Linked DNA regions of Xenopus tropicalis. The protein of the gene in region 3 interacts with the protein of the main gene of each other region in a pairwise test. Links are inferred from orthologs where the notes say so. Each region holds a gene or a part of one and is shown on either strand. Other genes may lie near its edges. The genes, in order: oprm1, mkln1 and ranbp9.

Region 1 (3,754 bases), on a different chromosome or scaffold from region 3:
CAGCACTTTGCCCCTGGGGTATAACTGTGCTCTGCACTGGCAGGAACATGGCAGCCCATTTAGGGGGCAGGTAGTGAGTGGGAAGGTGGACACCTTCTTGCCTTCCTCAGGCAACCCTTTATAAATATGGTGCTGCTAAAGACAGGCAGTACTGCATTAATCCAAAAAGAGTCAGGTCTTTAGGTGACCATGACTAGGCACCCTGCTCCACTGATTGTCAATGAGCCCTTAGGTGTCCTGTTGTGGAAGAATAAAGGAAAATATACAAGGCACAGGTTTATTAGCTCCTGATAAAATTGACCATAGTGTGTGATTGCAATCAAGACTAGATTGTAAGCTCTGTAAGCATTGGGGCAGGGACTGTTAGGAATAATGTATAATCATTGTAAAAGCATTGCGGAATATGTTGTATTGACTAATAATACAGGTAAATAAAGGAAAAATGCACATAAAGTAACACAAAAATAATGTTTATTCTAAAGCCAAATAATCTTCAAGGCCTTGCACTCTGACACTCTAATGAAGCATCTAGTGCTGACTTGGCACACCAAGATATGTCGCTTGTATATAGTACATGTGCACAGAATTAGAATTAAGCAACAGCCTACTTGTATGACTGGCCCCTTGGTGCAAACCACCAACATAAAACAAAAAAATGGACAGAATGCTTTTGTTTGCTATTTTTTTCCAGTTCAATGTTATTAGCCACAATGGCTTGGTCTGGAAAACGTACTCCCTGATTCCTGTTAAGGATGTCACTATCACTTCCAATAGATGGCACTGTGTACATATTGATACTGTTTCACTGATCATTATAGGTATAGGAAAAGTTATATGTAATAAAACTACTTTAATTAACAGCAATGTCTTTATCTCTCTGTAGCAACACCTATACTATACTGTATTGATAATGGGAACAAAATGATTCTATCATCTCTAAGTTCATCTATTGCTTTATTTTAACAGAAGCTTGATAAGTGATATTTATTATCCAAAAATAATCTAAGTGCTCCTGGCATCAAGCCTTTGATGAGCGTGTGTACGATTTAGCAGGGGAAGAGGGACCTGTGGGAAGGTTGGCTCTAGGGCAGGTCCACTGGGCACAGGGAAACTTTATATTCATTTCAACATAGAGGAAGACCATGGATCTAGATGGGAAGTATTGTACTTTATGCACCTTCTCTAGTAGTAGGGAAAAGGCACCCACTGTATGATACTTGTGGAACACAGGATAGTATATACATCTGTGCAAATACATATGATCATTGCTTCTTAATGAAACAATTCACATTGCTAGTGTTTGATTTGATCACATCCCCTTTCCTCCCAAGAGTTTGCAATGAGTGGGTTTCCCAATGTACTGTGTGATACAGTGTTATAGTGAATCCACTTAAATAATACATGATCTCTAGTAAGTAGCAATTAGCGACAGTAATCCCACTGCCTGCGAGAGACATCAGACTGCGAAATGCCAGGGTGGGGTGCCAGGCATGAAGGAAGGGGCACTGGCTTAAGCCCTTACCTGACAATGACATACATGATCAGGAGTCAAGTGTTTACCTGACAACTACATACATGATCAGGAGTCAAGTGCTTACCATACAACTACATACATGATCAGGAGTCAAGTGCTTACCATACAACTACATACATGATCAGGAGTGAAGTGTTTACCTGACAACTACATACATGATCAGGAGTCAAGTGTTTACCTAACAACTACATACATGATCAGGAGTCAAGTGTTTACCTGACAACTACATACATGATCAGGAGTCAAGTGTTTACCTGACAACTACATACATGATCAGGAGTCAAGTGTTTACCTGACAACTACATACATGATCAAGAGTGAAGTGCTTACCTGACAATGACATACATGATCAGGAGTCAAGTGCTTACCATACAACTACATACATGATCAGGAGTCAAGTGCTTACCATACAACTACATACATGATCAGGAGTCAAGTGCTTACCATACAACTACATACATGATCAGGAGTGAAGTGCTTACCTGACAATGACATACATGACCAAGACGTTGCCAAAGAGTCCCATCACACAGATCATGGAGTAGAGAGCGGTGATGATGATGGCTATAATAATGGAATCGCTGTCCTCCGGGAAAGTCTCTGACTGGTTGCACAAGTATGACTGGTTGCCTTCCAGTCTGCTCCAGTTGCCCATGCCGCCAACCGGACATATCATTGGAATCTGAGAGCCATTGTCACCCAAGCCGCTAAGGGTGCTATTGAGCAGGCTGTCGGCAGATCGAAGGGAGCTGTTCGGGGTACCGTCCATTTTGAGCTTAGCGAGTGCTAGTTTGGTGCTAAGAGGCGCTAGGATGTGAGCGCTGGATGTAGAGTGGCTCCAATGAGGCTCTCCTCCTCCTCCTCCTCCCCCCGCACTGCTGCCCCTTCTGCTCTCCCCCCTCTCCTGTCAGTCACAGAGAAAGCGCTCAGCCAGCTGCAAGGGGCCAGGGAGCGGGCAAGGAGGGTGATAGCAAAGCGCTGGGAAAGCGCAAGGAATGGCTGTACCCAACAGTGCGAGAGCCGTGCGTGTCTTCTCTTCCAGGCATTAATCCTCCACTTCTAGTCCCCTCTGCATCCACCTATTATATACACCCCGCCTCTTCTCTTCTCCTCACCGCCAGCAGCCACCGCACCAGCAGCCCCATTAGCCTCCCCGCCGCCGTCAGGCGCTAATTGACTCGCACTAACACTGCCCAGCTCCGCTAATAATGAGTCGCTTGCTCATCTGACGTTGGGCTACAAAGAGTTAAACAAAGGAGTACAGACTCAGCACCAACCCATACACCCTACTAACTACCTCTATCAGCACAGTACTACCAAACCATATACACCACCTTATACACACTCACCAACCCATACACACTGCCAACCCCACTCACCAACCCATACACACTGCCAACCCCACTCACCAACCCATACACACTGCCAACCCCACTCACCAACCCATACACACTGCCAACCCCACTCACCAACCCATACACACACTACTAACCCCACTCACCAACCCATACACACTGCCAACCCCACTCACCAACCCATACACACTACCAACCCCACTCACCAACCCATACACACTGCCAACCCCACTCACCAACCCATACACACTACCAACCCCACTCACCAACCCATACACACATCCAACCCCACTCACCAACCCATACACACTACCAACCCCACTCACCAACCCATACACACTGCTAACCCCACTCACCAACCCATACACACTACCAACCCCACTCACCAACCCATACACACTGCCAACCCCACTCACCAACCCATACACACTGTTAACCCCACTCACCAACCCATACACACTACCAACCCCACTCACCAACCCATACACACTACCAACCCCACTCACCATCCCATACATACTACCAACCCCACTCACCAACCCATACACACTGCCAACCCCACTCACCAACCCATACACACACTACTAACCCCACTCACCAACCCATACACACACTACTAACCCCACTCACCAACCCATACACACACTACTAACCCCACTCACCAAACCATACACACACTACTAACCCCACTCACCAACCCATACACACACTACTAACCCCACTCACCAAACCATACACACACTACTAACCCCACTAACCAACCAATAAACACACTACTAACCCCACTCACCAACCCATACACACTTACTAGCTTACCAACACACACATACTTGCTGCCTCTACCAACACACATAATATTTTTCAT
Region 2 (3,654 bases), on a different chromosome or scaffold from region 3:
AATAAAGAGGATGTCAGTTGTCACATGTTGCACATCTGTACATGCTCACACTCCACAAGCTTGCAATGATATTAGCTTTACCAAATAATGGCACAGCAGTAGTGCCCTGCTCACTGAAGGGACGGAGGGGTGAACAAGGTAGCAATTGTTAACAAGAACTGTCAGGAAGCAAGCAAAAGGTCCCACTGTCCAAAATGGGTAACTTGTTTATATTGCATTCAGACATAGACTTTGTACTGAGGCATTCTGACTATTTTGGTGAACAGGGCATTTGGTACAATTGGAGCCCTTTTACATTCACTGTACTGAGTTTGGTTGCTGTCAGAGGTCTATAGAAAATATGTTAAAAAAGCAGATATGTTTGTTGTTTTTTACCTACCAAGTGGGGTGAAGTCTTTATTTGATTTGAAAAGTGCTGAAGGAAGTAGCTGAAACTGTTAACAAAAAACAAAAAAAACAAAAAAACAAAATTGAATATTTAGATGATTAAGTGAAAAAATGAGAGAGCTACTTCCCATCTAAGCCCAATCCCTTTAGTACCCAAGCTACTAAACCTATTCCCAACACAGGAATGACTGTACCATGTCCTCCTTGTCATTATTTTCTATTTTTGATGACTTGGAGAGATGACACACAATTGTTCATGTAATAAGCATGTTTGAGCTAACAGAGGAATATACAACAGTGCTTAGTAGACATAGGGGCATATTTAATATAGCGTGTAAGCCAACATCACCGGTGAAGTTGCCCAGAGAAATCAATTAGATCTTTGCTTTTCTTTCCCAACTTGTAGGCGACTGCTAAAATAGAATTGCCAGTGATGTTGGCTTACACACTATAATAAATATGCCCCATAGTGTACTTACACCTCAAAATTGGGTGCACATGGTATTTTAATATTGAATTCTGAAAGTGACATTGCAATTTCTGCTATTAACTACGTCTGTTATGTAGCTAAATGCAATTGCATGCATTTCAAGCACCAGCTGCACATCTCCCCCGTGGAGTCTGCATATATTAAAAATGCTGCCTTGTGGATAAAAACCATTACTTGCTCTCAAAATTGCACTTTGCACACTGCATTCATAAGCGAGCCCTAATGCCTCACTGGCCAGAAGTTCAGTGCATTCAAATGTACATTGTAACCTATGTAGTTCAATCAAGAATGTGCATTACACAAGCACAAAGAGACTGAGTATTCGTATTGACAAATATAAAATGAATACTGTGACGATGGCAAGAGTACTATCATATTTATTTATAGCACCAATGTCTCTAGAAGAGTAAAGGGATACAAATACAAAACACACCAGTTCATATACAGACAAACATTTCACCAGAATACATGCACAGTAATAATTGAATATTGTTAGGACACTATAGGGTGAAGGCCATGCTTCATCTTAGAGATGCAGTACAGGAAATATTTCTGCACTTTGAATAGAAGAAGGCGACCTTTAACCCGGCCAAGTATGGAAGGCTCGGACATCAGCTATGAAGAATTAATTTTCAGATCATCTTTGGAAAAAGCATTATGCATATTAAAGGAGAAGGAAAGGCTAAGTCACTTGGGGGTGCCAAAATGTTAGGCACCCCCAAGTGACTTTAATCGCTTACCTTTTACCCCGGGCTGGTGCCCCTGTTAGGAGAAAACCACACCAGCCCGGGGTACCCACAGCGAGCGTTTCCTCTTCCTTCTGTCCGCAAAATCCCTGGGCCGGCGAATGCGCAGTAGAGTGAAAAGAGTGTTAACGTTCGGCTTTTCCCTCTACTGTGCATGCGCAAGCGAGCGAGAAGGAGGGGGAAACACTCGCCACAGGTACCCCGGGCTGGTGCGGTTTTCTTGCACTCCCCTGTAGCAAGATGTGAAATAGCAGGTGATTTCTCACATAAAAATACCCACAGGTCGTGCATATAGCGTAAAAGTGTACAAACAATAGTAAGGGGGTTATTTAAAGACATGCACCGAATATCCAGGATTCGGTTCGGGGGACTGTGCGCTTTTATTTTACCCTATTTACATATGCAAATTAGGGTCCGGATTCAATTTGGTCGAATCTTTCGTGACTGATCCTGAGTTTGGCTGAACTCAAAAATAATAGATTCAGTGCATCCCTAGTTATTTATAAAGCTAGGTAAATAAGTTGCACTAGAATACATTCCACATTGCCACTTAATAGTTACAAAGATGTGTAATGGAATTGGACATATGTAGCAGTGTGTAAAAGTTGGGGATGCAGAAAGATGTGTAAGTTAGGAGAGGAAGCTGTAAAACCTGCAGTAGATTACAACCACTTTAGCTCATCTTTATAAATGCAACAATCAGCTGGTTGTAATGGATCATATTCATGCCCGCAGTCCACTGTTAAATTATTATAAAAAATACACCAGTTTTTGGTATAAATCATTTTAAACAACATTACTGTCTGTCAGAAGCAGTGCACAAGAAAAACCCTTTCCACTAAAGAACAGAGATGCAGATCTGTGGTGATCTCAAATGCTAACTAGAGCATAGATTTCCAAACTATGGGGTAGCCCATTACTGTAGTTTCTGGTTAAGACACTTTCTAATAGTTTTAATATATGTTTGTAAAATTACAAATATAACAAAAAAAAAAAAAATAAATAAATCTGCTTTTGCATGAGAATCCTTACTCCCCATTCTACACTAGCACTAGTGGCTGCAGAGCATTCTGAGTTTATGGGCAGTACGAGAGTATTACTTTAAATTATAGCAATCTGATTTTTAGTCACACGCTGACGGCTGGTACTAAAATAAAAATGTACTTTTCACCTCTTTAGTTTCTTCAGGGTCTGAGTGATCCACAGTGACAAACAAATCATTTTGCAAATATTTCAGTGCACTGAGGGGCTCCGTCTGGGCACGCTCTTCAAACCTGTGTAAGGCATGTCTGTATTAGCTTACACATTTAAACACCTTACATTCATAACTAGGAGAAAACACAGCACTAGATGAATTAACTGAAGGTCAGCATAATAAATCTACCCTAACATACAAAAGAAGTCTCAAGCAAAATATATTTCTTTTGGAGGGAGTATTTATAAAAAAAAAAATGCATTTTACTCTTCTTCCATTATGTGTCTGGCTTGATTCACTGGCTGCGGTTTATGAGCCACAGCCACAGTTACTCCTGTTTGTAGACTTACACTAGTTAACAAATGGATCATAACTAAAGCAATCCTTTTTTTTTTTTTTAGTAAAAGTATAAGGGATCAAACACACAAGCATTTGTGCCTGTGCTTTCCTCTGCTGCGTTCCACCGCAGGGAAGCACAGAAATAAACACACCCTTATTCTTCCTAATGCGCCCGTACTCACACAGGCACATGTAAGCATCCAACCCTGTGTTCGAGCTTAACTATGTGTTTGCCATTCAGAATACAATTAAGAGAACATGTTCACCAATGCATTACCATTAGCTACGCTATTTTACCTACACTGGATAAAACAGTTTTTGATATTATGAAGTTGTGGCAATGGGTTATTTTAAATTTCATTGACCTAAGTTATATCTTATGAATGCAGCTACCTTACATTCAGTGGTGCCAATGGAATACACTAAATTACCAAAATCTGGATGAAAATAATAAGGTCAAATCACTTTGGGCTGCTTCAGTTAAAGAATAGCACCTC
Region 3 (3,654 bases):
AGCAATGAAAAAACACAACAGAAATAGAGTACAGGTTTATCTGCAATACCCCACATAAGCTAAAGTTCTTCTAAACACTTCGGCAATTAAATTTTTTTTTTTTTAGATTTCATGATTTTGCAGATTCTGTGTTGCTGAAATATGTCCTGAGTCCTGACTATGCAGTCTAGTTTGTTGAATCCAAGCCATGTAGCACCTTCTTGCTTTGTCTGCTGACATTCTGATGATTTCCCCCAACCCCTAATCTCAGCTTCTCAAGCGCAGCCCAGAGAACACTGACCATGTGCAGTGTCACACTCATTTAAAAGATGGCCTAACAGGATCAGAGGATGGGGAGCTGCTATTATAGCCTGGATCAGTACTGCTATATAGCTGCTTACTACAACATTTCTAGCCATATTTTTTTAGCTTTTAGTTGTACTTTACAAATCCTGTGCCTGTTATTGGAACACATTATGCTTAATGTTTATTTTCAGCAGGGTGGGAGTTTGCACTTTGGCTTGCTCTTAGCTTCCTGCAGTACAATTTTAGGTTATAGCCTTTTGACAAAGTAGGGAGGAATGGATAGCAAAACAGATTTCCTTTCCCAAATCTAACTATATATGCTATATTTAGGTATAAAAAAAAATTGTTTTGATGCTACTGCCCCAGAATAAGTTCTTGCATGATTCCATGTCATTGGCTGTAATTCGAATGGACAGATTTCCATGCACAGGGAAAGCCATACAAACAGAGTGAGACTTACCTAGTATTGCACTGTTCAGTGAGGAGCACACATGCTCTCTCTGTATGGGGTCAAGCTGGTACCCAACTGGGCTATTCCAGGGATCAGAATATGCTAGTAAACTGAATGCATCCTGTTTAGAAGATAAAATAAAGGAGAAATATAAGGAAACAATTGGACCATTTCTTCAGTGCCATTTAGATGAGTTTCATGAGATTTCCCAAACACCCTGTACTGCTCAGCAAACTGCACATTAACATCAGCACTAGAGTTGAGCACACCTTTCTCCCATTCTATTTATCATGATATCCAGGAAAGGCTGAAGCCAAACCCAGAACTGCATGAGGATTCCATGGGAAAGATGGCACCAAAAGACTGGTATTTTTTTTATTGGTCTTACCAGGGATTACCCCCCCCCCCCCCAAAAAAAACCCAAAAACCCATCAAGCAATATTATTTGGCTCTTGATGGACATAACCATAGTTTGTGTATGTGATAGTTAGAATGATCAGTTAACATATGCTTTAACATAAATAAAGCATATAACTAACCTATGCTGCACTAAAATGCTGACTGACATTTCTTGGTGCTCCCTGACAAACTATTCTAGGTGAAGCAGTCCGACTTGCAATTAAGTGGTTCTTTTTTAACCCATCCAGAATCCTCCAAACCCAGAGCAGCCGCTGAGTGCGTTAGTTTAGAAAGAACCAAGAAACCACCAGATACATATTCCAACAACAGACCATAATCCAAAACTATTGCACCTTAAGCATGTTTTTGTTGGTTGCATTTTTCCCACGTTCTCTTCTTAACTGCTCACTCATGGCTTGTAGCTCTCTCCCAAAGCAAATCATTCTCTCAACAGCGGCTTGGCTGCCTCCACACAGCTGGCGTCGGCCATGAGAAGTATCGACTTCTGCAACCAAAACAATAAATCAGCTTTAGCACTAAGATGTCAGTGTGGTTGTGTCCCATTCCTAATGCAAAGCAGGACATTGCCTGCATCTTGTCCTGTAAAGAAACATTCTACTAAACAACTATGGAATCTGACCTGGTTCTTCCAATTGGTGAAAAGATTCATGTTCTTTTTAGCCACGCAAACACTGAATATCCAATCACTCAAAGGGGAATACAAGATTTAAGTAAAGAACATATTGCTGTAAAAATGATGCAGGGTAAGTTACAAATTATATTTCTACATAACAGCAGATATTTGCACCTGGACAGTAACCCATGGCAACAAATCAGATGTTTGTTTTAATTGCTCATCTTGCAGCTGGCTGAAAAAAGCTAATCACTGATTAGTTGATATTGGTTACTACCCAGGTGCAAATTTGCCCAGTGTTTATAAATAAACCCCTGGATATCATGAGCTCTGTAGTTATCAAAGTGTAGAGGATTACTTTGGTGCAAATATTATCTGCGCTGCATTATTTCTTCTTGCATGCCTATAATATATAGATAAAAATGCTGCAGACCCATCTCAGTGTCACATTCTTCTAGTTCAGGCTCGTGCCTTGAGCTGCCATTGAGGAAGCCATTAGACGTGGATGCTGAAAAGCCATTGGAATAATGATCGGTCTCCATTTCTACATCATTACTGAAGAAGGAAAAGCACATTGTTACACACTGGGACAGGCAGTTATATTTAACTTTAAAGATTAAGTAACATCCTTTATACAGATATTGCTTGCTCATTTAGGTATAATTTACAAAAATGATTCTTAACCCATGGGTTGGGACCTAAAATTTGGTCCCTCTGTTGTTTAGAGTGGGTCACCCTGATCAACAGTAAAACGTCCTTCTGCAACAGACCATAGTAATTAAAAGGAGACAGGGAATTATATTGCAGTTCTTGGGTGTAGAGGTGGAATTCCAGACAATGTTAATTCCATTTAAAAAAAGTTTAAGAAACCCAAGGAATAACTTATAGGGATGCACCAGATCCTGTATTTTGGGATTTGGGCGAATCCTGCACACCCATGCCTACACCAGCGAATGTTATAATATACTATGCTGTTGGTTTATTGTGCTTTTATTCATGCAGCAGTTATTTTTGAGAAGGCAAGACCTCCCCCTCTCTCCCCTCAGCAGTAAAGCGTAAACTGTACAGGGGAAAGTCTGTGTAAGGGAAGGCCAGTACACAGTGTTCTCTCCTCTGTTATCATTGTTATATGTTATGCCTGTGCTTGGCAGCAGCTGGAATTCCGAGTAGCCAGGCTGCCAGTATGACACACACCATGTGAAGCAGTAAAGCTGCTTTGCTTCTAGGCAGCCACTGCTATTAGGCAGCACAGCAAGTACCTGACCTCAGAGGAGAGGATAAGGGAAGCAAAACAAAATGGTGCATCATTGCACAGCCCCAGGGAACATACTGCAGCAGAGCCATTCATCATGGGGTTGAGGTTACACATAAAAATGAGGTGCAGAGAAGAGAGAAGCCTATTTTCTGGCCATAAGCCTGGGAAATGAAAAGTAAGCGTGTGGGGGTGGTGGCAGAATGTGTAGGTCTGCGGTTTGGTGCACTGGGATAAAAACTTGTCAGCGTGGGGAGGCAAGCCTGCAGGATACACAGCATGGTTTCTCACCTGGAGTAGCTGTTAAGTTGATGTGACATTGTCATGTTTATGCTGTTTAGTTCCGTTACATTTAGGTTAGAAGACTGTGATTTGCTATGACAATGTGTCTGGTGAGCCTTGTTTGATATTATTCCATTGCTGCAGTTGCTATCAGAACCTGAGGGACAGAGGTACAGACACGTGTCAGTTCTGCAATCCAACCTTTTATTTCACATAACTGTGTACTAACGTTAATGTCAGATACATGTACTAATGTTAGCTATGCCAAAGACTATTACAGCCATTGATAGTCAAATCAGTAATATCAGTAAGTGCCCTAAACAAATTAAGAATATTTTCATTTGAACACTG

What was found.
Region 1: the proteins of ranbp9 (region 3) and oprm1 interact in binary tests that used the Homo sapiens proteins (3 or more experiments, as listed by UniProt). The link is inferred for Xenopus tropicalis from reciprocal best matches to the Homo sapiens genes RANBP9 and OPRM1.
Region 2: the proteins of ranbp9 (region 3) and mkln1 interact in a two-hybrid assay, tested with the Homo sapiens proteins (2 studies listed by BioGRID). The link is inferred for Xenopus tropicalis from reciprocal best matches to the Homo sapiens genes RANBP9 and MKLN1.

The regions. Positions count from the first base shown.
Region 1 is NC_030681.2:43,442,802-43,446,555, reverse strand, and holds the start of oprm1 (mu-type opioid receptor), read right to left. Parts: upstream 2,793-3,754; 5' UTR 2,304-2,792; coding exon 2,017-2,303; intron 1-2,016. UniProt on the Homo sapiens protein: Receptor for endogenous opioids such as beta-endorphin and endomorphin. Receptor for natural and synthetic opioids including morphine, heroin, DAMGO, fentanyl, etorphine, buprenorphin and methadone.
Region 2 is NC_030679.2:85,024,948-85,028,601, reverse strand, and holds part of mkln1 (muskelin), read right to left. Parts: intron 2,898-3,654; coding exon 2,795-2,897; intron 435-2,794; coding exon 380-434; intron 1-379. UniProt on the Homo sapiens protein: Component of the CTLH E3 ubiquitin-protein ligase complex that selectively accepts ubiquitin from UBE2H and mediates ubiquitination and subsequent proteasomal degradation of the transcription factor HBP1.
Region 3 is NC_030682.2:91,811,654-91,815,307, forward strand, and holds part of ranbp9 (ran-binding protein 9), read right to left. Parts: intron 3,461-3,654; coding exon 3,313-3,460; intron 2,325-3,312; coding exon 2,203-2,324; intron 1,641-2,202; coding exon 1,489-1,640; intron 858-1,488; coding exon 746-857; intron 1-745. UniProt on the Homo sapiens protein: May act as scaffolding protein, and as adapter protein to couple membrane receptors to intracellular signaling pathways. Acts as a mediator of cell spreading and actin cytoskeleton rearrangement.